Stegostoma tigrinum: one gene and its partners. The protein of the gene in region 3 purifies or fractionates together with the protein of the main gene of each other region. This does not show direct contact. Links are inferred from orthologs where the notes say so. Each region holds a gene or a part of one and is shown on either strand. Other genes may lie near its edges. The genes, in order: rnps1, putative RNA-binding protein Luc7-like 2, SRSF protein kinase 1-like and ddx5.

Region 1 (7,345 bases), on a different chromosome or scaffold from region 3:
CTTGCTTTTTATGAATTTGTTCATTATCTTAAATCATTCGCTTCTAATTCGCACATACACTATTAACAGGTAAGTTTCTAAATGCTCTGTCCTGTGTCTACTCTTTCCCTTCCTGATTTTGAGCATTGCTACTGAATGTCTTCTCAATTTTCTCTCATGAAAATAGCCCCAATCTATCTTCTCCAATGTAACTTCTCCATGTAACTGAAGGTCCTCATTCCTGGAACTATGTTTATGGACCTTTCAAAACTCTCTCTATTGCCATCAAATGGTTCCTAAAATGTATTGCCCAGAATACACAATATTCAAATTGAGGGCAAATCAGAGTTTTATGACAGTTCATCAAAACTTCCCTATGTACTCTATACAGTCCAAGATCCTGTATACCTTTTCAAATTACTTTTTCAACCTGCCCTGCCACCCTCAATGACTTATAGATATATACGCAGTTCTGTTTCTGCTCCCCCTTACATTATACCCTTTATTTTCTGTGGCCTCTCCTCATTCTTCTTACTAAGATACTTTCCACTTGCCTGCAATAAATTTCATATTCCACATGTCTGTTCACTCCAATGTCCAATTTTGTGATATCTATAAATTTTGAAATTATGCTCTGTGCCCCCAACTATTCTAGTTATTAATACAGTCAAGAAAAGCAATGGTCCTAACAATGACTCTCCTAGAGAACCCACTGTGTAAGCTCCAATTCCACGATCATCTCACTAAGCCAACTTTGCACCCAAGCTGCTGCTGTTAACTATACTCCATGGCCTTCAACTCTGCTGACATGCCTATTTTGTAACACTTTACCAAACATATTAAAGTCAATGCATGCCATAGCAAATGCAATATTCTCTAACTATCCATCACCTCATCAAAATAATTTAAACATGATATGCCTTTAACATATCTCTGTTGATTTTAATTAATTAACTTTTTCAAGTTACTCAGTTTTTCAAAGATTATTATTTTTAAAAAGCTTCCCCAACACTGAGGTTAAAATGACTGGCCTGCAATTGCTGAGTTCATGCTTACAAGATTTTTCTACAAGAGTCAAACACTGGCATTTCTCCAGTGCCATGCCATCACCTCTGAAAGCAGTTTAGAAGATTATGACCTGCACTTCCACAAATTTTGGCCTGACTTCCCCCAGTATACTTGGATACATCTCCTCCAGTCTTGGTGACTTAGCAACTTTAAAGACCGCCAGGTTTTGTCAATTTTTGGCCCATTCATCATCTCACCCACCTCCATTTAGAAATATAAAAATACACAAAAATAGGAGCAAAGATAGGCCATTCAGCCCTTTGAGCCTGCTTTGCCATTCGTTATGACAAGATGGCTGATGACTTTCACAGAATTTTCTTCAGTAACGACCAGTGCAAAGTACTTACATAGCACCTCATGTCGATACATAAATCTCTCTTTTGGTCTCAAAATGGGAATAGTCTTGTTTTATCATCCTTTCACTATTTAAATAGTTTTGGGTGGTCTTTAACGATAGCTGCCAGTCTCTTCCCATTCCTTCTGTTTCCTTTTTCATTTCCCCTCTGACCTTTCCAAAGCAGCTGATTCTCACTTGTATTATCAACATGACATTTGTCACACATCTCTTCTACTGTTTTATATTCCTGCCTTCATCATTGTCAGGCTTTAATATGCCAACAAGCTTGTTGGCTGGTCTCCCAATTTATCCTTCACAAACTTTTTATCATCCAAAACTATGCTGCTCATTTCTTAACTGGCAGCAAGTCACTCCTGTGTTCATTGAAATTCAGTTGCTCCCAGTCAAGCAACATCTTAATTTTAACTTTTAAACATTTTGGGAAAGTGTCTAGTGATGATCATGATCCATCATCAGTTGTCAGACAAACCCATCTGGTTCACTAATGTCCTTGAGGGAAGGAAACTGACATCCTTATCTTGTCAGGCAGATGTGGTTGACTTCACTGCCCTCTGGGCAATTAGGGATGGGCAGTAAATGCTGGCCTAGCCAGCAACACACTCATCCTGTGATGAATTTTAAAAACCCTCATTTTCAAATCCTTCCAAGTCATTAGCCCTTCCACCTTTGTAATCTCTTTGACCAAGATTTTGATCATTTTACTTAATATTTCCTTACATAACTCTATGGTCATATTTAGTTTTAGAATACTCCTATGAGGCACTTTCAGACCTCATTATGGTAAAGATACTACACCAAGTAGACATCAATCTTTTCTCTATTTGATTAGACAGTATTTTGTTTATCCTATTATTCCATCAGAGGAATCTACTTCCAACAACTGTACCTCAAGTACATTATCTTCAACAGCTGCCCAGAGTTTAATCACAGTATATGATTCTAATTTATCCAGAACTGGCCCACCTCATTAAGTTTTTTTTATTTTGGTTTGTTCTTTGTCCTTTTCCATCGTTAATCTAATATTTACAATGTTACATTCACTAATTCCTTAAATAATCTCCTACTGACAGGACCCAACTTGTTCAAGGTGAGGTATTGGGAGTATTCATGGGTGTGTGGAAGGTGTCCCAGTAACCACCTCAGTAAGAGGGGAAAGACAGGAAACAGCTTGAGTATGGCAGGTAGGCTTGTTAGCGGGACAACCCCGGGGTCAGGTGTCAACAACAGGCCCAGGGATATAGCAGAATTTCCCGGTCAACCCCCTCCCCACTAATCAATAAGATTCGCTCCACTAGGCCTCGGGCTCCGTTCTACACCGAGATTCCAACTGTACAAAGGGCTATTCATCCTTATAAAGCCGTCACAGTGCAGTGAACACAGTCCACCCCGAACGCGAGAAGCCAACTGTCGCTGCAGTCAGGCGGCCCCTGGCCCCGATGGACATGGATTCCCGTCCACTCACATTCCGCTCTCGATCCGCTCTCGCTCGCCGCTGCCTGGGCCGCAAAACCGTCCCGCTCAACCCGCGTCACCCGTCGCACGCTGCGTCATGACACAAACATTTGCGATACTGGTGAGCACCACCGGGGGGAGTGAGAGAGCACGCTGCACTGTCGTTGGGTCGGGATATGCGCTGAACCCGGCGTAGGAGGGCACTCAGAGATAATGGAAACTGCAGATGCTGGAGAATCCAAGACAATAAAATGTGAGGCTGGATGAACACAGCAGGCCAAGCAGCATCTCAGGAGCACAAAAGCTGACGTTTCGGGCCTAGACCCTTCATCAGAGAGGGGGATGGGGTGAGGGTTCTGCAATAAATAGGGAGAGAGGGGGAGGCGGACCCAAGATGGAGAGAAAAGAAGATAGGTGGAGAGGAGAGTATAGGTGGGGAGGTAGGGAGGGGATAGGTCAGTCCAGGGAAGACGGACAGGTCAAGGAGGTGGGATGAGGTTAGTAGGTAGAAGATGGGGGTGCAGCTTGGGGTGGGAGGAAGGGATGGGTGAGAGGAAGAACAGGTTAGGGAGGCAGAGACAGGTTGGACTGGTTTTGGGATGCAGTGGGTGGAGGGGAAGAGCTGGGCTGGTTGTGTGGTGCAGTGGGGGGAGGGGACGAACTGGGCTGGTTTAGGGATGCGGTGGGGGAAGGGGAGATTTTGAAGCAGGTGAAGTCCACATTGATACCATTGGGCTGCAGGGTTCCCAGGCGGAATATGAGTTGCTGTTCCTGCAACTTTCGGGTGGCATCATTGTGGCAGTGCAGGAGGCCCATGATGGACATGTCATCAAGAGAATGGGAGGGGGAGTGGAAATGGTTTGCGACTGGGAGGTGCAGTTGTTTGTTGCGAACTGAGCGGAGGTGTTCTGCAAAGCGGTCTCCAAGCCTCCGCTTGGTTTCCCCAATGTAGAGGAAGCCACACCGGGTACAGTGGATGCAGTATACCACATTGGCAGATGTGCAGGTGAACCTCTGCTTAATGTGGAATGTCATCTTGGGGCCTGGGATAGGGATGAGGGAGGAGGTGTGGGGGCAAGTGTAGCATTTCCTGCGGTTGCAGGGGAAGGTGCCGGGTGTGGTGGGGTTGGAGGTCAGGGTGGAGCGAACAAGGGAGTCACGGAGAGAGTGGTCTCTCCGGAAAGCAGACAGGGGTGGGGATGGAAAAATGTAGGAGGGCACGCTCCTGATTGTCTTCCAAAAATGTTGTGAAATCCATCCCAGAGGGCAAACGAGGGTCTCAATTTAATCTTTTTTTAAAGAAAACGGAAGACCTGCAGTTGGTGTAAATCAGAAACTTGCAAAGATTTGTAGCTCGGGCTGGGAGCTTGCCCAGTGTATGTACACGTTTTGTCACCGTGCTAGGTAACATATCAGTTCCTTCAATCAAGCGGTGTTGTTCTACTCCATTTGGTATCTCACACAAGATCATCATTGAATCCCTACAGTGTGGAAGCTGGCCATTCAGCCCAACAAATCCATACCACCCCTCCAAAGAGCATTCCCACCCAGACCCATTCCCCGATCCCTGCATTTTTCATATCTAACCCACGTAACCTAAACATGCCAGGGCATGATAAGGAATGTAACATGGCCAATACACCTCCCCTGCACATCTTTGGACAGTGGGAGGAAACCGGAGCACCTGGAGGAAACCCACACAGACACAGGGAGAATGTACAAACTCCACAAACTCAGTCACCCAAGGCTGGAATCAAACCCAGGTCCCTGGTGTTCAGAGGCAGCAGTGCTAACCACTGAGCCACTGTACCATCCAGTCTATTAAGTTGGGTTGTGTTATTTCTGGCTCTGTTCTGCGTGGGTTTGTATATGGGGTCTAATTCCACATGTTTGTTAATTGCTTTAAGGGTAAAATACTTGGTCCCTCGGAATTCCCGTGCATGTCTGCGGTTGGCTTGAACCAGGATGGTCACCTCACTCCATCCACTCAACCCTTTACCTCAAGAACATTAAAATCAATGATGACGGGATTATGGTATCCTTTGATGTCACAGCACTATTCATGTCCATTGACGTACCACATTACTGGATACAGCAGGAACACTGAACTTCAAACAGCTCCTTCAGCAAGGACAACATACTCAGACCGCTGGACCTATGCGTCACCACACACTTGATCTTTAATGGCCAAATATACAAACAAATCAATTGTAAACCTGTGGGGTCGCCCATCTCAGGACTTATTGCAGGGGCAGTCAATACAAGGTCTGGAACACACTAACCCCCACTCCTGCCGCCTGACAGTCAAAACTGTGGACCAGATACATGGACGACACGTTTGTCATCATTAAACGCACCAAGTTAGAAGCGACACACGATCTCATTAACAACATTTTCACTGGGATCAAATTTACAGGAGAAGAGGAAGACAACAATCAATTTCCATTTCTCGACATGAGGGTAGAACAAGTGACCAATGGGGAGTTCCAAACCACAGTATACAGGAAGGCAGCCCACACTGACCAAATCCTCAATTTCCACAGCAATCACCCCAAACAAATCTAGGACACTATTCAAATGGGCCACGAACCAATGCAACATGCCAGAACTACGCAGGAAGTAGGAACAGCGCCTATACAAGGTCTTTTGCTAACAACAGATATTCCAACAACTTCACCCACAGGTGCCCACTAGATTGGCAGTGCCAAGAGGACACAATACACCCCAATACACTGGCCACACTACTCTATATCAAGAAGATGTAAGAACTGCTGAGACTCCTATGACCACTAGGAATCACGGTAGCAATCACTTGACCCAAAACATTAACTGTGATTTCTTGTGATCAATTTAACTGGGACAACATGGCCATCCTAGCTCAAGCCAACCACAGGCATGCACAGGAATTCCTAGAGGCCTGTTTTTCAACCCGTAATGCAATTAACAAACTTATGGAATTAGACCCCATATACAAGTCCATGCAGAACAAAACCGGAAATGACACAACCCACCTCAACAGACCAAATTATATAAATACCCAGCAGGGTAGAACAACATCGCTTCATCGCAGGCCACATTGTTGATGTTACCTAGCATGGTCACGAAATGTCTGTATCATAGCCAACCAGCTCCGCAAGCAAGTCACCAACCTCAAAAACAAAAATTGCTGGAAAAGCTCAGCAGGTCTGGCAGCAGCTGTTGAACAGAAATCGGAGTTCTTAGGAAGGGTCACTTGACCCAAAACATTAACTGTGATTTCTCTCCACAGGTGCTGCCAGACCTCCAGAGCTTTTCCAGCAATTTCTGTTTTTGTTTTTGGGTATCAATTTAAAGTTTCCCCTGAAAATATCACTTCCAACAGTATAGCACCACCTTCAGGACTGCACAGAGTGTCAATCCAAATTATGTGCCCGAGACATTGGGCTTGAACACTTATGGTATTACAGAAATGGCATATTTGTTGTGAAAAATACAAGCAAGCCTTTGAATTGGGGGATTTTTGGAAACCATCAAATGACGATCAAAACGCAATGAGAAAATATTTGGCTTGTAAAAGTCTCAAGGAAGCAAATTCATTCTCAAGAGGAATGACGGATTGAATAAATATTTTGTCTAACTTACCTTCAGAACACTCAAATTATACCTCAAAGCTAGAGATTAACCAAGGAGCTAATAAGAATCAGACATTTTGAATAATTCATGTTTGCAGCAGAAATTATTAAAGAAATTTGAGGAATTAAAACTTGACAAATCTCCAGAACCTGATGGCTTACATTTGTGGGGAGCTAGGGTGGCTGCAGAGATAGCAGATGCCCTAGTTTTGATTTTAAAGTCCTGTAGATTCCACAAGGTCTCAGTGGTTTGAGTTAACAGATTAGTAAATGTAACACTGCTATTCAAGAAAGGAGGGAAGAGAAAATAAGAATTACAAGCCCAACATAAATTGTCATGAATATGGTAGAATTTATTGTTGAGGACATCTTAACAATGCACTTTGATATACTTTGATTCCCCAAACTGTATTCAATAAGGTGCATCACAAATGATCATTTAAATGCTAAGGATTAATGGAGTTGGCATGAATACATTACCATGAATAGAAAATTTGCTAATAGACAGAAAACAAATATAGAAATAAACAGCTGTAACCACAGGAATGGCACAAGGAACAGATAAGGGTTTCAACTATTTATAATCTATATTGATCATAGAAAGAGAGACTTATTGGATTCTACACGATTAGAATTGTTAAGTAGCTGAAAGTGAGGTGAGCAGCACAGGAGTTAGAGTGCATTATTTCCCCCTTCAACTCCATTTTAGTTTAGTTTCTCCCCCCCTCCCATTTATTATTGTTGCACTGCTCCTGGTGTAGTACTTGTTAAATTGTTCTTTTAATTTGTAACATGGATGACTTGGTGGTGGTTAAAAAAGATTGTCCATAGGATGTGTGGTAGATTCTTTGACAGAAAAAAAAATCTGGAAATGCTA
Region 2 (7,280 bases), on a different chromosome or scaffold from region 3:
ACGAGGCAATACCAAGATAGCTACATGCAATTATTTATTAAGCCATGACAAATTAACTAGCCTTTGGGTGGTTTTAACTCGCAGGACCAGTAGAATATTGGCCAAGTTACATTTACCTTGAAAGGTTAGCCTGGCATGACATACACCTGAGCGTGCCAATCATTAAGTGCATTTGTCAAACATTTTTTAACAGAGCAATTGGCTTAAAGAATTCTTATTCCACATGAAAAATTTCTAAATACAGAGAAAAAAGATTGTGGATCCAACCATTAAATTCTACCATACCTTGCTTTAATAATAAACTTCAACAAAATAAACTTACAGCATTATTGACTTCAGTCAATTAGCTGAGCTGTACAACATGGCAGGAATTGCATACCAAGAAAACGTGCTATAAAGACTCAACAGGTGTTACAGCATCGGTAAAAAGAAAGTTATTGTTTCACGTCTAGATGAAACTTCTGATGAAAAGTCAGTTCAACCTGAAACGTGAACTGTTTCTCTCTCCACAGCTGCAACTGACCTCAGTATGCCCAGCACTACTTGCTTTTATTTTAGATTTCCAGCATCCGGAGTATCTTGCCTTTGAACAGGACTTGCTTAGGCTTTATTGTTTGGGCTAATTTGGATTACAAGAGTTAGATGTACTTTTCAGGATCAGACTCATCTTGTGAGTGGAAATCCCTATTAAAAAATGAATACGAAAATTTCCATCGCTTACCAGCAAACAAACCTAAAGATCCCAAAACCTGCATCTTGTGATGCAACGAATTTCAAACGAAGTTTTCAAAGAAAACTTACTTGTTTTTCTCATTTTAGTGCACTTTTGACAAACAAATGTATTTTTAGGACATCTCCATATTCCCTCTGTGAATTAGGTAAAATGATTAATCAAAACAGCAGTTATCCCTAATCAGAAATTAGTATAGTTCTAGAATACAATTTACTTCTCATTACATTCTCAAGTAATGTTACTTGGGAATTATCAGATTGTCTTCACTAGTGACAGACAAATGGAGTTATGGTGACTTTAAAAGAGGGACTCTCACCACTTCAGTTGTATGTGTGTTAATTTAGTTCCCTCATACCGTTGGTAACTCCTCTCCAAGCCATTTACCCCCGATGTCTTCAGCACTCACTGTTTAAACAAAGATTTAGAAAGACAAAAGAAATATAGAAAAAAATCAAAGGGTTATCAAATGCTGGACCTAATCCTTGCTAACTGGTTGCTTTCTAAATTTTTTTTGGCCCTAATGATGCAATAGAGACTTTATGATTGTTCATACACGGAGTATGATCCATAGCGTTGCAGAAAGATACAGATCAAGATCAGAAATTAAAAAAACCTTCGCCCAAGTCAGATATTTCATCAGTGCATGGGATTTGAAGTCATATTGATCACCTAAGAATGATTTCAAAGACAATGGTGATGACTGTACCAGTTAAACAAGAAGGCTGTAAGTACTGTATGAATCTTGTCATTGATAACAACCATGAAACTACATAAAGGTACTTTGGACACAATGCATGTGTTTAATGACTCTTGAGGGGAGGAGACCAAGCAAAGAATGGAACAGTCCAACTGCTGGTCCCTAGAGACTTCTCCTTTGAACATTAACACATTTGCACATTGTGTTTTTTACTCTGTAATGACCCAAAAAACTAGGAACAGAGTAGCAGCAACTTACAGCCAGCATATCATGTGTCACAGGTGTATGATAAAGTTTATTTGCGAGATGCAAAAAAAAAGTGGAAGCTTTATTATAGATGAAACCACTTGGAAACATGAACTAAAATGGGAATTGCAAAAGAGAGATATTAACTTGTAAATCAAAAGAAAATTACTCTACCACACAACTCCAGAAATAATTCCAGATTTTGTCTTCCCAAACTTCTTTCATAATCTCCCTTGATCTTGAATTTGTAAATGCATGCCCTACATGACTACGTGATCAAGGAGGAGTGATGAACCAGATCAATGGAAGCTGCCCCTTGTGAAGGTATAATTCCCGACAGAGAGAAAGGCAAAGAACTGACTCAAAAACAGAAATTACTTGCAAAACTCAGGCTGCGTGACTGCATTGGTGGGAGGAAAACAGTTAATGCTTCATGCCCGGAAACTTTTCATCTGCTTTCCTCCTACAGATGCTGTCAAACCTGCTGAGTGTTGCCAGCAATTTTGTGTCTTTGTTTCAAATTTATGTCAACGGCAGTTCTTTATTTCATTTTAAAGACCTGACTCACCCACCTCAGGAACCATCACCTGAGGCATCCCCAAGTCTCCATGACCCACCCAACACCATAGCCTCAGACACCAATTGGCTGACCCCTGCCCCATCAATGACCATTTAGGCGCCGAATCGTGCCCCCCGCCAGGCCCCTCCTTCCTCCATGCATTGGCCGTTTACCAGCGCGCACGTCCCCATTGGCGTAGACTGCCGGCACTGCAGGTAAAGGCCGCCACCCATTGGACAAGTCCACAGTCACTCCGGCAAGACGCCGCCACCCATTGGCCGAGTCGCGCCCGTCATGCACGTGGGGCGGGGCACCAGGGCGGAGCCAGGGGGACTCTCGGCTGCTTTCCACCATATTGGCCGGATTCTTCACAGCGGACATGTTTACTGCGATTCAACAAGGAAACATTCGGTTTTCAACAGTAGTAAGGATAAATGTTTGCCATTAACGCGCTTACCGTCCCTGGACGTCCCCATGAGCTGGTCGAGCATAGCTCGCATTTGGGCCTGTGCCGACATTTTTTTTCCTCTGGCTTTTACAGGATCCGCCGCACAATTTTTTTTAAAGCCGGGAAAAAAACAGATACCGCTAGCTACTAAAGTGGTCCGATTTGCTGCAGATTTTTTTGTTTCCTTTTAAAACGTCCAAAGCTACTGGTTTGCATCGAGGTTTATTTTATTTTTCCGCCTCTTGTTTTGGCTCCAGCTCTGCGCCCTCGTCTCGAGCCGCTCGGCCGGAACTGACGTCACGGCCAACGGCCCCGGCTCGTGACGGGGACGCCACCAAGTTCAAAAATTGCATGGGGAGGGGAGGGGACCAGGCAAATAATGGAACAGTCCGACTGTTGCAACTGCTGGTTCCTAGACACTTCTCCTTTTGGACTTTGTGTATTTTACTCTGTAACGACCCAAAATTCTTGCAAGTGGCATCTTCCTCCTCTTTGGGACGGGGGAGGGGGCGAGAGCGAGAGACCAGTTAAAGGGGCAAGCTCATTGGAATTAATGATTGGTGAACAAAATAAATTCCAAAATCTTCCTACCCCATCATTTCTGGTAACAGCTAACCCAACTGGCAGGAAACCTTATGTTGGAAATGGTTGGCAATGAGTTTACCATGATCCACCAGCTTCCTTGTCAGAGCTTCTCTGCTCTGCTTGTTCTTTTTCCTTTTCTTTCCCCTTTGTTATCTTCTCTCCTCTCGGCATCGGAGCTGGCAGCAAGTCCAGAGCTGCAAGTCCTGTAGCCGTGCACGGGCTGCGAGCTCCAGAGCAGCGCGGGGAAGAGCCCCACAGCAGCATATAGGGAAGTAGCCCTGGAGCATGGCACAGGCAGTGAGTCGCAGGGGCCAGTGGTACATGCGGGAGATGGCAGCCTGAGAGCAACACAAGGGCTGAGGTACAGCATGACTCACCTTGTTGCTGCTGAGTGCCGGTGAGGAGTGGACTGGAGGCTGGAGTGATGCAGGACAATTGCTGGATTTGGGCCTGGCGGCATGTGCTGAGCTTCTGTTATTGGACTGTAATTTAAAACCTTATCACTTTGTGTTAGCTACATCTGCAAGTAATGCTTATACTTTCCTTTAATGCTGTTTGGATAAGAACACTTTTTTTCAACTCTGTAAGATTTGTACCCAGGTACTTGTATGGAAGATGACGCCGTTAAAAGGCAGTCATTGGAAAAAGTTTCCACTGTGCTCCTATACCTCTGTATTGTAGTACAAGTGACCATAATGGATTTTCTTTATTGTACATTCCCCACAGATGCTACATGGTGATGTGATTAAATCTTTGCTGTACATTTGTCCCCATTATATGTTTGAATGCAACAATATCCAATTTCGGTTGTCAAGGGGCAAGTAATCATCATGCCACAAATGCCAGGTACTGCCCATCTCCAATAAGAGATGATGTAGCAACTGCCCCTCTGTCAATAAATAGCATTAGCAGCACTGAATCCGCCACACTCATCCTGCTAGGGGTTGCCATTGATAATAAACTCAGCGACGATAAGAGCTGGTCGGAGTATAGGAATGTTGTGGCAAGTAACTCACCTCCTGACTCCCCAAAGCCTGTCCACCATCTACAAGGCACAAGTCAGGAGTGTGATGGAATACTCCCACCAGCTGGATGAGTGCAGCTGCAATAACATTCAAGATGCCTGATACCAGCCAGGACAAAGCAGCCTTGCTTGATTGGCACCACGTTCACAATCATCCATTCTGCTCACCACTGATACCTAGTAGCAGCAACGTGTTCTATCTGCAAGATGCAATGCAGAAATCCACCAAAAATCTGTAGGCAGCACCTTGCAAACCCACAACCACTTCCATGTAGAAGGACAAGGACAGCAGATATAGGGAACACCACTCCATCACCTACAAGTTCCTCTCCAAGCCACTCATCATCCTGACTTGGAAATATATTGCCATACCTTTAATGTTGCTGGGTCAAAATCCTGGCATTCCCTCTCTAAGGGCATTGTGGGTCTACCTAAGCACATGGACTACAATAATTGAAGAAAGCAGTTCACCACCACTTTCTTGAGGGCAACTAGGGACAAGCAATAAATCCAGGGCATCCAACAATGTCCATGTCCCATGAATGAAATGAGATCTAACGGCCATGTTTTTTAATGGCACAGTTAGTGAAATTTTATAGATTGCTGCCTCAGCACTAACCACTAGTATGAAGAACTTCTAAATTGCCTAAGGGAATAATGATGAAGGCGGCCAAGCGGGAAAGAAAGCAGACAAAAATCAGTAATGCTTCAAAATAAATACTCTGGTCTCGCTGCAACTCCATTTTGGAATATATGAGATGTCAGGTTAGTATATGTCATTTTCCTTCTAGGACTCAGGTCATTGGGATCGAGATGAGGAGAAAGGTAAAAGATGACGTCCACAGAGTGCGTGTAGGACAGAAATGAAGGGAAAGTGTAAAAGTGAAAAGAGAGGGAGCAGAAGGATGAAGCGAGTCCACAGAATTCGTAGAATCCCTGCAGTGTGGAAACAGGCCTTTTGGCCCAACAAGTCTACACTGACCCTTGGAGCATCCCACCCAGACCCATCCCCCCAATCTACACATCCCTAAACTCTATGGGAAATTTAGCATGGCCAATCCACTTAACCTGCACATATGTTTGGACTGTGGGAGGAAACCCACAGACATGGGAAGAATGTGCAAACTCTACACAGACAGTCACCCGAGGATGGAATACGAACCTGGGTCCCAGGACTGTGAGGCAGCGGTGCTAACCACTGAGATACCGTGTATGAGAGAATAGCAAGTGAAAGACAAGATGAGGAGGTGGAACCACAGATGCAAAAGATGAATGGTGTAGCAAGGGGAGAATGCAAGCGTGGAGTAAGAAAAGACAGCAAATGTGTGCAACAGCATGAGTGGTTGGCATGGATGAGTTGGACTGAATGGTTTCTTTCTATGCTGTACATTTCTGTAACTGTATGAGTGGGAAGATGATAGATGGGCAGGAGCTGGGAGAGGCTGACTGTGGATTGAAGAGAATGGGGTGGCAGAGTGAGAACAGGAAGTGTGAGGGTTAGAGGAGAAAGAAACAGTGAGATGAGCAGAAGGGAGAAAGGCTGTCAACAGGATTTAAAGGTGTAACAGAGGGAAGGAGGATGGGGGAAAGGAGATACAGAGTGATGGGAGAGGGAAGGAATAAAAGTTGGGAGTGAGGTGACACGATAAATAAATAGGATGGCATGTCAATCATGTTGAGTGATATTTGTAGATCCTGTATTGACAGGAATTTTCCCAATTTATTTCCACAGTTCTTATTACATTTTTTCTGGAACAAGCCAATTTCCAGAGCCTGGGAAATGTTTATAAACTAAACTAGAGTGTCAGATCCTACAATTCCATCTCTCTGTCTATGTCTTTGCTGTTTGGCACTTGGTTTCATTGGTCATTTGGCTATAGGGAGCCAGGAACCAATGATAATTGAAGGTTATTTGCTATTTAACCTTAGTTTATTGAGATGCAATCTGTTTCAACATTTTATTACAAAACACTACAGATGCTGGAAATCTGTAACAAAAATAGAACTTGCTGTAAACATTTATCAGGTCAACCCAGTTTTAGTTCTGTAACTTTCCTGTATCAGGTCACAGACCTGAATCTTTAACCTGGTGTGAACTTCCAGCATTTTTTTACTTTCATGTTACGTTAATCCAGCGTTTGCTGGAGTGAGTGCATCACTGACTGATTTGAATGACAAGGAAATGAAAATTGACGTAGATGCTGCCTTATTGTTACATTCAATGGCTGAGTACTGCAGCACCATTTTAGTTAGAAAGGAAATTTCACAGGATTACATTTTGGTGCAGCATTACTATAATTTACAGAAAAAAGATATTGACTGCTACATATGTCGTCATCTGAAGGTATAATAAAGGCAGGATCAGAACTATAGTAACTACCCAATAATCTCAAACTGCATACCCAGATTAGGGAAGGGATTATTCTGCGATGATATGGGAAACTAGTGTTGTGAGCTCTTTAACCTTGAGACCATGCTGAGGGGTGGCCTTCCAGAGGTTTACAGAAGCATGAGGGGCATGAATAGGGTAAATAACCAAGAACCTTTGCCAGGGTGGGGGGGATCCAAAACGAGAGGGCATAGGTTTAAGGTGAGAGGGGAAAGATTTAAAACTGAGGGCGGTGCGTGTATGGAATGAGCTGCCAGAGGAAGTGGTGGGGGCGGGTACAATTACAACATTTAAAAAGCACCTGGATGGGTACATGAATAGGAAGGGTTTATAGATATGGTTCAAATGCTGGCAAATGGAATGAGATCAGTTTGGGATATCTGGCTGACATGAATGAGTTGAGCAGAAGGGTCTGTGTCCATGCTGTTTAACTCTATGACACTGTAAGATAAAACAGGAAAACCCTTTATAATAGAAGGCAGAGAGCTCACTTTTGTTTTGTTTGCTCGGCCTCATTTTAAAAAAAAATAATTTTGAATCACAGAGATGTGCAGCATGGAGACCCTTAGGTCTAACTCATCCACACCATCTAGATATCC
Region 3 (7,777 bases):
AAATTTCCTGAAATCCACTGTCTATAATAGTCATAAAGCAACAGATTTAAAATGACAGATTAAAATACAGCAGTTATTGGTGCCAATTAAATCTTCAGTTATAAGTGAAAACACTTCAATGCATTTTGCGAAATCACTGAAGTAGCAAGACACTTTCATTTCCATGAGTAATTCCTTTGAATTTACTCTAAGGACAGTGTATCAGCTCAAGCTGAAAACTGGATTTTTTTTTAAAACTATCACCCAACTTGGTCTGCTCACTGACATATTTGGTTGGAAAAGTCCTTGGAGCCATTTCCACTTCAATAAAGTGCAACAGGACCTTTACTTACATGCACAAGCTGACATTCTGCTCCACTTCCAGTAAAGTTATGCCAATGGATTTGGAGCATCTCGGAAGAATTTCCTGGGTTATTTTGCAACATTTCTACTTCTTATAAAACTGCCCCTTGTATTCTTTATTATAAAAAAGATATTGTCAGTCTACATGCCCAACCTAAACAACCCAAAAATTGCTAAGATCCATAAGTCAATATGGATTCTGCCTAGAGGTTGACAGATTTGATGTATTCTGCTCATTCTGGAGAAACACTAGAAAACTGTTGCAATCACAAGTATAAAATATTTAGAACCATGCTTAGAAGAGTTTAATCTCCTGCAACTGTACTAGCTCTGTCAGACTAATTGAAGAGAAATCTTCATTTCAACAGTTTATCCAATTTTCCTTGAAGAGGCAAATTATTCAACTATTCACGACAAAGGATTTTACACTGATAACCCATTTTCTTAGGGTATTTTAACTGATAACCTCGCTATGAAGATTTCCACCTCAAAGAGAATGTTTTTGTTTCTCAGTATATTGGAATGTTTTCATTAGATTTATTCCTGTATTTCTTTGTACTTAAAGTAGTATTTGTTCTGTATTCTACTGCTGCCCAAAATATGAAGTGATATTGCCTTCAGATCACCACACAAATACACTGAAGCAAAAATGGTAACACAGGAGTATTCATTCTGAATTTTTTCTGGTATTTGATCTTTTTTATAAACAGCCAAACAAGGGGGAAAAACCTTTACATAGCCCTTTATATTGCACATACCCACCATTACAGCAGTTCAACATTACCAATCCAGGAGGCCAGATACAGCTTGAGGAACTAAACAAGGTGGAATTAAAAGTCAAAATCCAATGGGATTTATTTTGCTGGAAGTAGGGCAGAAAGCCTGTTTCTGCATGCAAAAAGTTTCCTGCTGCACTTCACAGAAGTGGAAAGGGCTTAAGTTCCACAGCTGCTAAGTGCTCATCATAACCACATTGAATCGAAGTAACTGAGGTTATGAACTGACAAGGAACAGTAAGTTATCTTTCAACAATACATCAAGACATATCTATCAAGACATTCTATCAGTATTCCAATTAATAACAAGCCTTTTTTACATCCAGTTTCAAAAGCCCTTTAAGAAAATGGATCCGTTAAAGCTGCTTTGTGATGTAACTCACATTATGATCCCACATCACAGAAGCAAATTGTTTTCATGGTTACCAAGCTGCAAAATGATCGTGAACAGATTTCAAAAGCAATACCCTGAAAGATCAGAGTGCAGTTACCTAACTGACTGGACAATCATAACCTATAGAGCTAGCCTGTCAAAAACAGATTTGCTTCAGCTAACACTATATGACCAAACACAGCGTGCTAAATCCTAATGCACCAATAATTTTGAATTCTATACCATTAACAATCTCTGGCCTACCTTATTAGCTGTAGAAAGTTTGGTCTAGATCTGAATCATCTGCAGACTTAACTTTTTCGATGTTCTCTTGGTCAACATCAGGAATAGCATCCTTCACCAAAATCCCTTACTGTAAAAAGCCTGCTCAAGACCACCTAACCAATGGTCAACCATCTTTCTATAAGATCACCTCATCATACTTGAAGACATCATTGCCACTTTACAATTCTACTCAACCTGTTAATTGGTTTTCCTAGATATCTCAACCTCAACCTCATGACTCCAGTCAATATGAGGCCATTTCAAATATACCCTCTGGAAGCTTCAAAACACCCTCAACAACTTTGACGGCGCAGTGGCAAACACGTCTTCAAACAACAGAAACCAGAGACTTGACTGTAGAAAGTAGAACGAAACAGAAGAGGTTTATTTAAATCACAGCCTCAACCACCTCACTTCTCAAAAAACTCATGTCCTCTCTGTGGCTTCAGCAAAAATTAAAATATTGAACAACTCAACTACAGGAAAAAGAACGAGAATTAATCGCAAAGTTTGTGCAGATTGCAACAACTCAATCCACGTTTATGTATCACTTTTTTGTCAATGGAACGTAATAAAACTTTCAAAGTAAAAAAAAAGTCAATCGCCTTGCGTGGATGAAAGGCTCTTTGTGGGCTGCACACGGCTTTAAAAAAAACACTCTCCAACCCTGTACCCCAAGCCACCAACCCCCATCCAGCCAACTACCATCCATCCATCCACACAGTAGATCCCAAACCAGACGCTGCAACAGCAACAAAATCAAGAACCGACCAGATGGTCGCAATGGGGAAAGGTGTGTGGCGGATGGGGGGGGGGGGGGGGGGGGGCAGGAGAAATAGGTGAGGGTCTAGAATCAGCCCACAAGGCCCGGGCCGCAGCGTAAGCCTCGGCCTGGCGCTGCCAGCAGGCGGGCGACAGAGTGCGAGCAGCCCCGGCTCCGAAACCATCCCCACTCACTTCTTCAGAATCTTCTCCTTTTTGATTCGGCTTCGCTTCTTGCGCGCTTGCAGAGCCAGAACTGGGGGGGGGGAAAAATCCGAAAGAGAAGGAAGAAGGTTAGAGCGGTAATTGAGGGTATACAAAACGGATGTTTGTGACTACACCACCCCACCGGTAAGGCCAAGCCGGCTGAAAGGCTCCCTCACCTTTTCGGGAGCTCATGTTGGAACCGGTCCCCACACAATCACCAGCGCGCAAGCGCAAACCCACTGCTTTTTCTAACTATCGTTCTCTTATCCCGCCCCTCCTCCCCACCCGGAACCACCCACCAACTACTGTTCCGACCTCTGACCGCCAGGTGGGGTGGGGGCCCGTTCCCCGGCTGCTGTTCCGACCTCCGACCGCGAGGTGGTGGGCAAACCTCCTGTTAGCACTGCCGTCAGTCGACGTTAGTTGAGGCGCTTGATATTTTTGGTTCTTCGTGTCCAAGTTTTTGGAGTGTCCTTACTTAAATCTGCAAATTCTCTTATCATTAGAGTAATTTCTGGAAATATTCAGTAGTTCAGGCGGTATTGGACTTTGTGGAATGATAGGTGCAGTAATAATATAGTTCCAAAATTGGTTGAATGACGCGGGGGGGAGAGTAATGCTTAATGGATTTTCTCCCCATCAGGCAAAGGCTTGGGATGGAATCAGTGTTGGGCCCTTTCCTTTTTGTGATGTACGTTAATGACATAGACTATGCTGTGAAGGGTATGATTTCAATATTTGCAAATCATACAAAACTTGGAAGCATTGTAAACTAGGGAGAGTAGTGTAGCACTTTCGAGAGGGATATAGACAGGGATATGTTGAATGGGCAGGTAGGTGGCAAATTCAAAATACAGGTGTAAGCAATGCATTTTTGAAGGAAGATCTGGAGAGACAACTTGAAGTAAAGGGTGCAACTCTAAAACAGTGGAAGACATGAGTAATATCCGGACAATTAAGGAGAGTCAGGGGTAGCATTGAGTATGGTAGGCATTACAAAAGAGAAAGTGCTAGAAAAGCTAGAAGGTCTAAAAATTGATAAATCTCCTGGCCCCGATGGGCTACATCCTAGAGTTCTGAGGGAGGTGGCTGAGGAAATAGTGGAGGCATTGGTTGTGATCTTTCAAAAGTCACTGGAGTCATGGATCGTCCCAGATGATTGGAAAGTTTCTGTTGTAACCCCCTTGTTTTAGAAAGGATCAAGACAAAAGATGGAAAATCATAGGCCGATTAGCCTAACCTCGATTGTTGGTAAAATTCAAGAATCCATCATTAAGGATGAGATTTCTACATTCTTGAAAGTGCAGGGCCGGATTAGAACAAGTCAGCATGGATTTAGTAAGGGGAGGTCGTGTCTGACAAACCTGTTAGAATTCTTTGAAGAGGTAACAAGTAGGTTAGACCAGGGAAACCCAGTGGATGTTATCTATCTAGACTTCCAAAAGACCTATGACAAGGTGCCTCACAGGAGGCTGCTGAGCAAGGTGAGGGCTCATGGTGTTCGAGGTGAGCTGATGGCATGGATTGAGGATTGGCTGTCTGACAGAAGGCAGAGATTAGGGATAAAAGGCTCTTTTTCGGAATGGCAACCAATGACAAGTGGTGTCCCGCAGGGTTCAGTGTTGGGGCCGCAGCTGTTCACTTTATTTATTAATGATCTGGATGAAGGGACTGGGGGCATTCTGGCAAAGTTTGCCGATGATACGAAGTTAGGTGGACAAGCAGGTAGTACTGAGGAGGTGGGGAGGCTGCAGAAAGAGTTAAGACAGTTTAGGAGAGTGGTCCAGGAAATGGCTGATGAAATTCAATGTGAGCAAATGCGAGGTCTTGCACTTTGGAAAAATGAATACAGGCATGGACAATTTTCTAAACGTTGAGAAAATTCATAAAGCTGAAGTACAAAGGAATCTGGGAATGCTGGTCCAGGATTTTCTAAAGGTTAACTTGCAGGTTGATGATTAAGAAAGTGAATGTAATGTTGTCGTTTATCTCAAGCGGTTTGGAATATAAAAGCGACGATGTGCTTCTGAGACCTTATAAAGCTCTAATTAGGCCCCATTTAGAATACTGTGTCTAATTTTGGGCCACACTGGAGAGTGTCCAGGAGAGATTCACACGGATGATCCCTAGTATGGTAGGCCTAACATACAATGAACGGCTGAGGATCCTGGGATTGTATCCATTAGAGTTTAGAAGGTTGAGGAGAAATCTAATAGAAACTTACAAGATAATGCATGGCTTAGAAAGGGTGGACGCTGGGAAGTTGTTTCTGTTACGCGGGGAGACTAGGAGCCGTGGGCACAGGCTTAGAATTAGAGGGGGTCAATTTAGAATGGAAATGAGACATTTCTTCAGCCAGAGATTGGTGGGCCTGTGGAATTCATTGCCACGGAGCGCAGTGGAGGCTGGGATGTTACGTGTCTTCAAGGCAGAGATTGATAAGTTCTTGATCTCGCAAGGAATTAAGAGTTACGGTTAGAGTATGAATAGGTGGAGCTGAAATGCCCATCAGTCATGATTAAATGGTGGAGTGGATTCGATGGGCCAACTGGCCTTACTTCCACTCCTATGTCTTATGCTCTTATGGTCTTAAAATGAGTGCAGAAGCAGAGGAACTTGGTTGTGTATGTTTTTAGTCACAAAGGGTGACCAGCTATTAAAACACACCTTTTATTTTAATCGGGGAAATAGAGTAAAGACAGGTAGGATATGCTAAACTTACATTCAGTCTCAGCTTAAGTACCATGTCTGTTTTGGGCACATAACTCACAAAATAGGCATTCACAATGAAGGCATTCGCGGAACTATAGATTATGTTTATGGGAGTTATTCCAGGAATGAGGAATTCCAGTTATGAAGATAGATGGGAGACATTGGGACTGCTTTCCTTGGAGAGGAGAAGACTGAGAGGAGATCTGAATGAAGTACTTAAGATGATGACAGCACTGGACAAAGTAAATTAGTAGAAAATGTTTCCACTCATGAAAGATTGGAGAACAAGAAGGCACGTAATTAAACTAATTAGTAAAAGAAGTAAAAGTGATATAAGTCAAGCAATGAGTAGTTAAGATCCAGAATGCACTGTCTGGAGAGTGATGGAGACAGGTTCAATTTAGATGTTTAAAAGCAAATTAGACAGAACAATGAAAAGGAACAATGTGTAGGATTTTGGTGAGAATGCAGAGAAATGACTCTAAATCAAATGCTCTCTTAGAGACCCAGTGCAGGAATGAATGGCTTCGTTCTACTCAGTAACAACTCTGTAATACTGTGGAAATAAAAACAGTTAATGTTTCAGATAAATGGTTTTGCACCAGAGCTGGGAAAAGACACCACCATCCTCTTGGCCTTCCCTTCATCGTAATATCAGAAATGAGGATGACTGCTGCTCATTGCACAATGTTCTGTATCATTTGTGACTCCTCAGATAGTGAAACAGTCCATGTCCAGATGCAGCAAGATGTGGACAACATTCAGGCTTAGGCTGACAAGTGGCAAGTAATATTTGCACTGTACAAGTTACAGGCTATAAGATATGGAGCAGAAGTAGCCCAGTTAACACATCAAGCCTGCTCCACCATTCATTGAGATCAAAACTGATCTGATAATCCTCAATTCCACTGTCCTTTTCCTTAACTCTTGATTTCCTTCCTGATTAAAAATCTATCTTCCTCTTGACTATACCTAACAACCCAGCCTCAACAGCCCTCCGCAATAAATAATTACACAGATTTGCAAGCCTCAGAGAGAAGAAATTCCTTGTCATCTCTGTTTTAAACATGTGACCCCTTATGAGAATATGCATTTTGGTCCTAGACTCTTGCACAAGGAGAAACAGCCTGTCCTATCAAGTCCCTTAAGATCAGTCTGTGTACTGATTTCTATCCCTATGGCAGGAATGAATCTATCCCACTGGCATAAATTCATTAATTAATCCATACATGTACCACAATCTGTTTACTCTCCTGACATCTGCAACATATGACATGGGGGAATCCCTGAACCTCTTCCAATGACATCTCAGTCGTACTGCCTTCATACAACTCGAAGACGCTGGAAAACTATAACTTAACATTCGCCTTTATTTCCCAACCTATATTAAATACAGATTCACCTCTAACCTTCTCTGTAAGTTCACAGCAGTGTTTTTGTCCGTGTGTTTGTCACTTTTCGTTATTTCTTTGATGTACTAAAACACTACTGTCCTTCACTCAAGAAACCACTAGAATTGGCTCTCCATTTTAAATCTGGGTTAACTAAGTTGATTGAAGTGTCATGGCTAGATGCTAAAAGAGAAGCAAAACAAAAATATATTTCTTGTGTACTTGTATATTTGTTGTGATTGACTGAAAGGAGGCCAAGAAAGGGAGAAGCTATGACCCCCTTAACTTGAGCAATAAAGTCTCTTGCCATTCTTGCAACATCACAGTGGAATTATCTCATGGCCATCAACTTTGGCTATCACTTCATCATTTCTTTTGCCCTCATCTACCTCTGTCCCTTCTTCATTTTCTGTGTTAACATATTCCTTGTCTGACCTCCAGTCTTGGATGAGCAATTATCTCTTCCAGCTATCAAGTTATCAAATTTGGCCCTGTCACAAACTCCATATCCATGACACCGACTTCATTCTCCTCCCTGGCTGTTGGTTTAAGTTGAAACAAACTGTTCAAGACCTTGGCAACCTGTTCAGTCCCTTCAGAGTTTCCAATTATATATCCTATCCTTCACAAAAAGCACTGTCAGTCTCCTTCTGATTACCTCTGACCTATTTGGCACATTCGCTTATATTATTTTTGTCACTTCTGCACACAACTCTTCTGGATAACTATGTGTCCTTCAAACTCCATAAAGTCAAGTTTATTCGGAGCTATGCTGCCTGCATCCTAAGGTGAAACTACTTAATCCCCAGCCTATCTTGCTGACTGATTCCACCCATGCCTCAAATTTAAGATTATGATCTTTACATTTAGGATTGGCCGTCATTTTGCCCTTTCCTTGCTGTATAACCTTTACTTGCTGAAAATCTATC
Region 4 (7,116 bases), on a different chromosome or scaffold from region 3:
AAGGTGGCTAATGTTGTGTCATTGTTTAATAAAGGCTGTAAGGAGATGGCAGGAAACTATAGACTTGCAAGTCTAACATCAGCGGTAAGTATGTTGAGGTGATTCTGAAAGGTCGGATTTTCATGCATTTGGAGACACAGAATTGATTAGGGATGGTTTTACATAGAGAAAATAGTGTATCACAAACGTGGCTAGTAAGTTGTAAATGACACTAAAATTGGTAGCAGAATAGCCAATGAAAAGAAAGTTATCTAAGATTTCAAAGATCTTGACCAAATGAATCAATGGGCTGATGAGTGGCAAACAGTTTAATTTGGATAAATGTGGGGTTTTGCATTTATACAAGGACAGGACATATAGAATTAACAGTAGGGCCCTGGGTAGTGTTGTAGAACAGATGTAGGGGTTCAGGTACCTAATTCTTTGAAATTCACATCACATGTAGACATTGTTCACACATTCTGAGGAAGGATCATTGGACCCAAAATGTTAACTGATATTTACTACACAGATGCTGCCAGACCTGCTGAGCTTTTACAGCAGGTTCTGTTTTTGTTAGATGTAGACAGGTTGGTTAAGTCAGTTAGCACGTTTGCCTTCATTGCTCAGGCTTCCGAGTAAAGGAGTTGGCTATCATGTTTAGATTGTGCAGGATGTTGAGGCCTCTTTTGGAGTACTGTATACAGTTCTGACCATCATGCCAAAGCAAGGATAATTATTAAACTAGAGAGCAAGAGTTCATAAAAGTTAGAAAACTATCCTTCCTGAGTTCATGTTTAGGAAAGATCAGGCAGGTGGACTAGTTCAGTTTGGTAGCACGGTCAGTGTGGACTAAATAGTCCATTTCCCTGCTGTACAACTGACTTATAATAGAAGCACAGCTTTGCCTCTAATTTAAACTGTATAGTCACAGAAGATGTTCTAATGCACTTGTATTCCATACTTACTTGGAAAACTTGCTTCGACAAAGTTGAAAACTGGTTTAGGGCATGCAAGTCCTTTTACTGTGATTTCTTTGCTTCTTCTATATTGTTCAATTTCTTGCTGCAATCAACAACAGCATCAAATCCAATTTAACATTTGTGTAAAAAAGTGCAATCCATAAATCTAGCCCCAACCCTAGTCAATTAGGGAGTGTTCCAACCATAAAATAAAACCTAAAAAAGTCAGAAACAAAAGCAGAGATTGCAGAAAAAGCTTCCTTCAGTCTGAAGGAGGGTCACCAGACCCAATACATCACCTCTTATTTCTCTCCATTGGTGTTGCCAGACCTACAGAATTTCAGGTAATTTCTGCTTTTGTTTCCAGTGTCATCCTTCACAGTAGAGATCCCACAGTAATCAATTTACAGTTTAAGATACATAACTGGTGAATATGTATCCAAAAATAGGAAAACTGAAAGCTTTAAAAACCTCCATAGACACAAAAGCTCAGATGTACTAATCAGCCCAAGTTCAACTGATTGAAACAAGTACAAGAACCACTGATTAATACTTCCTCATTGAAAAGGCTAAAAAAGGTATACGTCTGTAATTTTCCCTTGTCTGTTAGAAGATGTCCACCAGGGGGATACCAAACATTAGCTGAAAATACACTAAAAATTTACTGTTATCTGTTCAGCAGTTATGTATATTTCAGTGGGCGGGCAGAGATCGCCCTTTAGTGACTAATAGGAATGAATCACCGGCTCACTCAAGAATAACCCCATCAGCTACAAACGTCAGCCCAACATCCTCCACCACCTTTGCCAAGTCAAAGCACATTGTTTCCCTTTAGAGTCTCCCTTAAATGAAAGGATTACCATTTTGTCCGGCACTAACAGTATTTAGTTTTACGAGTATATCTCACGACTACATGGAATTATAATAAAGGTTTAGGGGTAGAGGGGAGGAAAAAAAAAGCCAGCCAGTCCTACCACAGGTCGGTTCATCACATCTACGTGCTCGACGTAGAAGTTCTTCTCGAATTTGGGCAGCTCGTCCAGGTCCCATTTTCTTTTCCTCAGCTTCTCCCCCGGCTGCCCGAATTTCCTGCCGGGCGGAGGCGCGTTCCTGCTACCACCGAAGCGAGGTCCACCCGAACCGAACCTGGAATGTAATATTTTTACAGGAAAAAAAATTACGCTTTTCAAACAAAAGAGAGAAAGACAGACGATAGCAGACGTGTATCTGAAAAAAAAACAGGCTATCGACGCAAGACCGTAAGGTAGCTCCAACATCCACGATCAGCTTTACCCACCCCCGAAAAACAGCATCTCCCGGCCATTTTAGCTACAATACAAGGAAGAAACCTGTAACACGAGGTCAAACAGAGCATCGAAATATACAAATAAACAAAAACAGACTACGGCAAGACCAAAATAAAAATGGCAAAGCGGAAGAATGTTTAATTGGTTAGAACCCCCTCCCAAAAAATTGAAGTTCCTTAAGGAATTTGCTTTTTTTTTAAAAAAAATGCCAAATCACGCTCCGCACACCAGCCAGGATTTTGCCTAAGCGGACCGCGTGGCGGTGGCTTCTTCTCATCCTCCAGAACGGAACCGGCTTTTCTTTTCCAAAAAAAAATTGAAGATTAAAAAAAAACTGAAGGTGCGTTTTTCGAAAGAGGGGGAAAAAAAAATCACAAACTCACCCGCCACGCTCCCGACTCCGATCACCTCTATCGTAACCAGGCATCGCGGAAAAAGTGGAGGACAGGACTGCAAACGAGATACTTGACGCTCGATATGGAGCTGACTGTGGGAAAGGGAGGAAGCCGGTTGAAAGCCGAAACTAAAATGCCGGTTCCTTGTCCGCCTTTAGTCAAAGCCGGCAAGGGGGAGCCCGGAACTCATTCCGCATATCCCTCCGCAATTCAAATCTACGTAGCTACTTCTTGACCCAAATATTTCCGGACCCCTTTGTCACTTCAACACCCTCATATCGTTATCCCACTGTTCAAGAATCGAGCTGTTCCAGCTTTCTGGCGGCAGGGAAGACTTTAAACGAAACTTCATCGCCCATCTTCGAATGACAGGGCCTACTTTGCCTCGCTGACGATTACAAATGAGCGAGGAGGGGAGCTCTCTCTTCCCCATGGCGACAGGGTGACGTCAATGAAACGACACTGAGGGTAGGAAGCAAACGAAAAGGACGATGATTAAATAATAAAATATTCACATGAACGCTGCCGGTGACAGGTGGGGGGAGTGTGTATTTGTGTTTTTTTATAAGTGATAATAAAAAGGCGAGGGGCGGCGCTTGGAGTAATGACATTTTCCGCGGGTGGGCGGTTGGTGACGTCATGCCCAGAGCCAATGGGCGGCTGGAGACGTTTTAAATGTACAAGGGTCCGGGGCTATGGCAGTGGACTGACAACAAACTGATTAATTGTAACTCCGACTCGACTGAGCTATTTGGTGTTTCTTACTTTATATTTGTTGTGCGTCCAGTCGAAGGAGAAAGAATTTCTATTCCGTACCGCTGGCGATGGAGGAGCAGGACGAGAGAGGTCGGTCGCAGTCGAATCGGCTTCAATTGTAGGCCAGCAGCCGCGCTGACAACTTTCCCAACAAACTTTCCCAGTGTTTTAGTGTTTTGATTTTTTTAAAATCAAGTCTACTGCCACGTCTTTTAACTGTCACTTTTTTTGTCTGAAATGATTTGAGTTATGTCAAGCAAGAAATTATCTTATTTCTAGCTCCCCCTCCCCATATATAACGATGTATTTAGTTATAGTCTACTTTTACACTAGGAAAACCATTCGTTTCATATACTGTAATATGAAATATTTGCGTGTGGTGGTCATTATAAATCGAACTCGAGCTTCCTGACCCAACCAACAGTGTCAAGGCAACCAGAAGCTTGTTTAGAGGCGTCTGTTATCGGTTAAAGTAAATATCGGGCAGGTCCTCGTCAAGCATGTTTTTAATTAAAACAAAAGATGCTGGAGAGACAGCGGTCTGGCAGCGTCTCTGCAAAGGGAACCAGTTAACATTTCGAGTCCAGTGACCCTAATGCTATTTGTTAATACGATTGCCAGTCCAACACTAAATTACAGTTCAGTTATTCTTTATACAATACTTTCCTATTAATACCAGTTCTTGCAGCGCCTCATATCTCTTTCCAACCAGTCACCCTAACCCCCGAGATTTAATGCACTTGGACGAATTGGTATAATGTCCGAAACAACTTTTTACTTAGAGGGAGTTGAGGCTAGTAGTAGCCTTTTAAAAGGAATCGATTGGTTTTACTCCCTCTCGCCTTCGCCTCAGATGAGTGTGGTACTGCGCCTTCCGTTTTGGTTGTGGCGTAACATATTCTAGCCAAGCTCTGTTTCCCAGGGTTCTTTCAATTGCTCCCATTACTGCTCTTCCATCCTTGCGAAGATTTCTACCCGAAACGTCAGCTGCCCTGTTCCTCTGATGCAGCCTGGCCTGCTGTGTTCCAGCTCCACACTTTGTTATCTTTGACTCCAACATCTGCAGTTCTTGCTATCTCAGTAAATTCATATGTGTTAGCTTTTGTAATTGCAAATTCAAGAACACTACAGTCAATGATTATTTTTAAGTGGAATGTTGGATGAATGTAGAGTAGATGGTTAGGATCTGCTTCAAGACCAATCATTAGTAATGTCTTCTATAAGATATAGGAGAAAAATTCGACCACTTGGCCCATTGAGTCTGTTCCACCATTCAATTATGGCTGAAAAGTTTCTTAACCCCATTCTCCTGCCTTCTCCCTGTAATCCTTGTTCACTGTACTGATTAAGAGGCTATCTACCTCGATCTTAAAATGTACTCAATGATTTGGCCTCCACTGTCTTCAGCAGCAATGAGTTCTGCACATTAACCACCCTCTGGCTGATAAAATTTCCCTTGCACATTCTGTACTGTTCTTGTGGGATTTTGAGCCCTCCTGATAGACCATAAGCTTTTTTTTATTCAATCCTATATATTCCTTGGTCTCCAGGGTTCATAGAATGTGTTGGTCCCACTTTTTGTCATTATTGGAACATGTTGGCTGTGTATTCTCCCTAATTTTTTTCCATTACTCTAATGTAGAACAGATGGACAAGAAAACACCAGTTGTCAGGCCAGAGCATGTGGTTTCCCCAATAAAATAATGTGTAAACTTGCTCCTGAAAAGCATTGTAGGACTACCTACACCAAATAGATTGCAGCAGTTCAGCTTGGTAGCTGGCTAGTACCTTCAAAGGATAACGAAGGATGGGCATTAATTCTGGCTTGACAAGTGATGCCCACGTCTCATGAATAAGTGCAAAAGTCACACTAACCAGCAAACATGCTCTCTGATTTTTACCATCAAGTCTGTTGTCAAATTGTGTATACGTTTGAAGCCAGTTGATAAGCTCTTCTAAAGTGGATGTGTCCAGTTGGTATTAAATATACCCATCAGGATGTTACAAAATGTAAAGATTAAACAAGTCACTTGATTCTTAAGCTTTGTTTAGCTTTAAGCAGGTATAATTACATAACCATTTTAGGCAGACAGTAAAGTTCATTAATTCATCGTTACTGCAAATAAAGGCTGCTTTCTGACTACCAAAGGGCATCTACATTTGGAACAGTGCTCACAAATCTAGTTGAAGCACTAGAGGAAATTTAGCAATCCAAGATCACTGGGATTTTAACTAAGTTTTAATGTTTACCCATTTATGTACTAGAGTGTAGATGATGCTCAATTTTATGTCAGATCTAGATGTGCAAGGAGATAGAATAATTTGATTTACAAATAGATTCTTTTGAAATTGCAGTGTTGAGCAGCTAGGCAGGATAAATGCTTAATGCATGCTTGCATGTGGAAAAATTATTTGTTAATTGAAAAACAGCTGGCATCCTACAGCATAATTTAGTTAGGTCTTCATTTTGATGTATTTATTTTTATGTAGCCAATGTTTCATGGCAGTCATACACTTTTCAATACGTGAGACATGAGGCGTAGTAATATATCACTAGCTTACAAAGTATAATCCAGCATTATTACCCAGTTTTATGCCTTGTCACTAGAATTTCTATAAAGTACCTGCATCCATGGACCAAAACACTACCATATCTTTGGTGTCTTCTAATTGGAGGTACACTTCTTTGCACTGCGTGCTGTGCACAACCTGCCAAAGCATTTCATGTGGCCTGACATTTGCTTTACTGGCAGCTGCAAACAGCCTCAGGCATGGAAGCTGTGCTAGTGGTTTCACAGGCCATGTTGGGGAATATAAGGCTTTCAAGGAGATTTTGGCTTGAAGGGCATGTGCCGCAACACAGGGAGAAGGCAGTGGGAGTTTGATTGTGTAGAGGAACAATGTCAGGTTGTGATGGCAGGAGGGTTTAATAGGATTGATAGTTAGGTTGCTGTGTCATTCCTATTAATTTGTCTTTTCCCAAAAATATTGCACATTGATTTAGCTTTTTGCTCTCCTGATTTGTATTACTGCATCCTTTTTTTTCGCCTGTTCGGTCAAGATACTGAGATTCCAATTGATGCTCTAATTAGTTTGAACCCTGTGCTTGTACGCACATGATAGAAGAATAGGAATCCTTACTCAGAAATCTGTTTTATCAGATTATATCAAAGTATCCTGGGGGAGAGGCTGTTGCAGTGGAGAGGAATGAAAAACAAATTGCACACTTTCTATTTCAGTGTAAAATGTTTAATAGGATAACGATTACGGAAATTTTTGAATTACAAACTCCCATGGATTTTTTTTGAAGTAAATGTGTGCAACGAATGACAAAGAGAGGATGTATGGAGGATGGGGAAGGGATGAGAGAAAGGGGGAAAAGGGGTGAGTACAGGAGAAGGAAAAGATGGAGGGAAAGCAGGACGAGAAGAGCAAATCTAATGCTGAAAGTCACCTTTCAACTTCCATTTTCTTGTCAGTTCTACCTAGGTCTGCTCAGTGTGTGCCTCACCCAGTGCTTGGTCCCAGCCAGCACCACCACCCCAGTGATCAAGAATTGGGGCTGATTTTTTTCTCTCTCTCTCGTTCTCTCCTCTCCGGACCTCTACATCTTATTGTTTGGCAAAATTTGGCTTTATTAATGAGTTTTGTCATTTTGTATTTTTAATGGTGATTTTTTTATTAACTAAATTATCAACTTATTGCCTTTGAATTTTT

Evidence for each region.
Region 1: the proteins of SRSF protein kinase 1-like (region 3) and rnps1 purify together in Homo sapiens (co-immunoprecipitation; 5 studies listed by BioGRID and IntAct, counting the BioPlex papers as one, with this or other methods). This does not show direct contact. The link is inferred for Stegostoma tigrinum from reciprocal best matches to the Homo sapiens genes SRPK1 and RNPS1.
Region 2: the proteins of SRSF protein kinase 1-like (region 3) and putative RNA-binding protein Luc7-like 2 purify together in Homo sapiens (affinity purification with mass spectrometry; 3 studies listed by BioGRID and IntAct, counting the BioPlex papers as one, with this or other methods). This does not show direct contact. The link is inferred for Stegostoma tigrinum from reciprocal best matches to the Homo sapiens genes SRPK1 and LUC7L2.
Region 4: the proteins of SRSF protein kinase 1-like (region 3) and ddx5 purify together in Homo sapiens (affinity purification with mass spectrometry; 3 studies listed by BioGRID and IntAct, with this or other methods). This does not show direct contact. The link is inferred for Stegostoma tigrinum from reciprocal best matches to the Homo sapiens genes SRPK1 and DDX5.

The regions. Positions count from the first base shown.
Region 1 is NC_081376.1:32,312,553-32,319,897, forward strand, and holds the start of rnps1 (RNA-binding protein with serine-rich domain 1), read right to left. Parts: upstream 3,003-7,345; 5' UTR 2,870-3,002; coding exon 2,868-2,869; intron 1-2,867. UniProt on the Homo sapiens protein: Part of pre- and post-splicing multiprotein mRNP complexes. Auxiliary component of the splicing-dependent multiprotein exon junction complex (EJC) deposited at splice junction on mRNAs.
Region 2 is NC_081391.1:3,031,269-3,038,548, reverse strand, and holds the start of putative RNA-binding protein Luc7-like 2, read right to left. Parts: upstream 3,003-7,280; 5' UTR 2,754-3,002; coding exon 2,693-2,753; intron 1,139-2,692; exon of another isoform or gene 1,050-1,138; intron 1-1,049. UniProt on the Homo sapiens protein: May bind to RNA via its Arg/Ser-rich domain.
Region 3 is NC_081374.1:21,669,229-21,677,005, forward strand, and holds the start of SRSF protein kinase 1-like, read right to left. Parts: upstream 3,017-7,777; 5' UTR 2,938-3,016; coding exon 2,922-2,937; intron 2,795-2,921; coding exon 2,734-2,794; intron 1-2,733. UniProt on the Homo sapiens protein: Serine/arginine-rich protein-specific kinase which specifically phosphorylates its substrates at serine residues located in regions rich in arginine/serine dipeptides, known as RS domains and is involved in the phosphorylation of SR splicing factors and the regulation of splicing.
Region 4 is NC_081375.1:10,865,626-10,872,741, reverse strand, and holds the start of ddx5 (probable ATP-dependent RNA helicase DDX5), read right to left. Parts: upstream 3,019-7,116; 5' UTR 2,676-3,018; coding exon 2,632-2,675; intron 2,088-2,631; coding exon 1,916-2,087; intron 1,045-1,915; coding exon 948-1,044; intron 1-947. Other genes in the region: trichohyalin-like, read left to right, coding at 3,319-3,517. UniProt on the Homo sapiens protein: Involved in the alternative regulation of pre-mRNA splicing; its RNA helicase activity is necessary for increasing tau exon 10 inclusion and occurs in a RBM4-dependent manner. Binds to the tau pre-mRNA in the stem-loop region downstream of exon 10.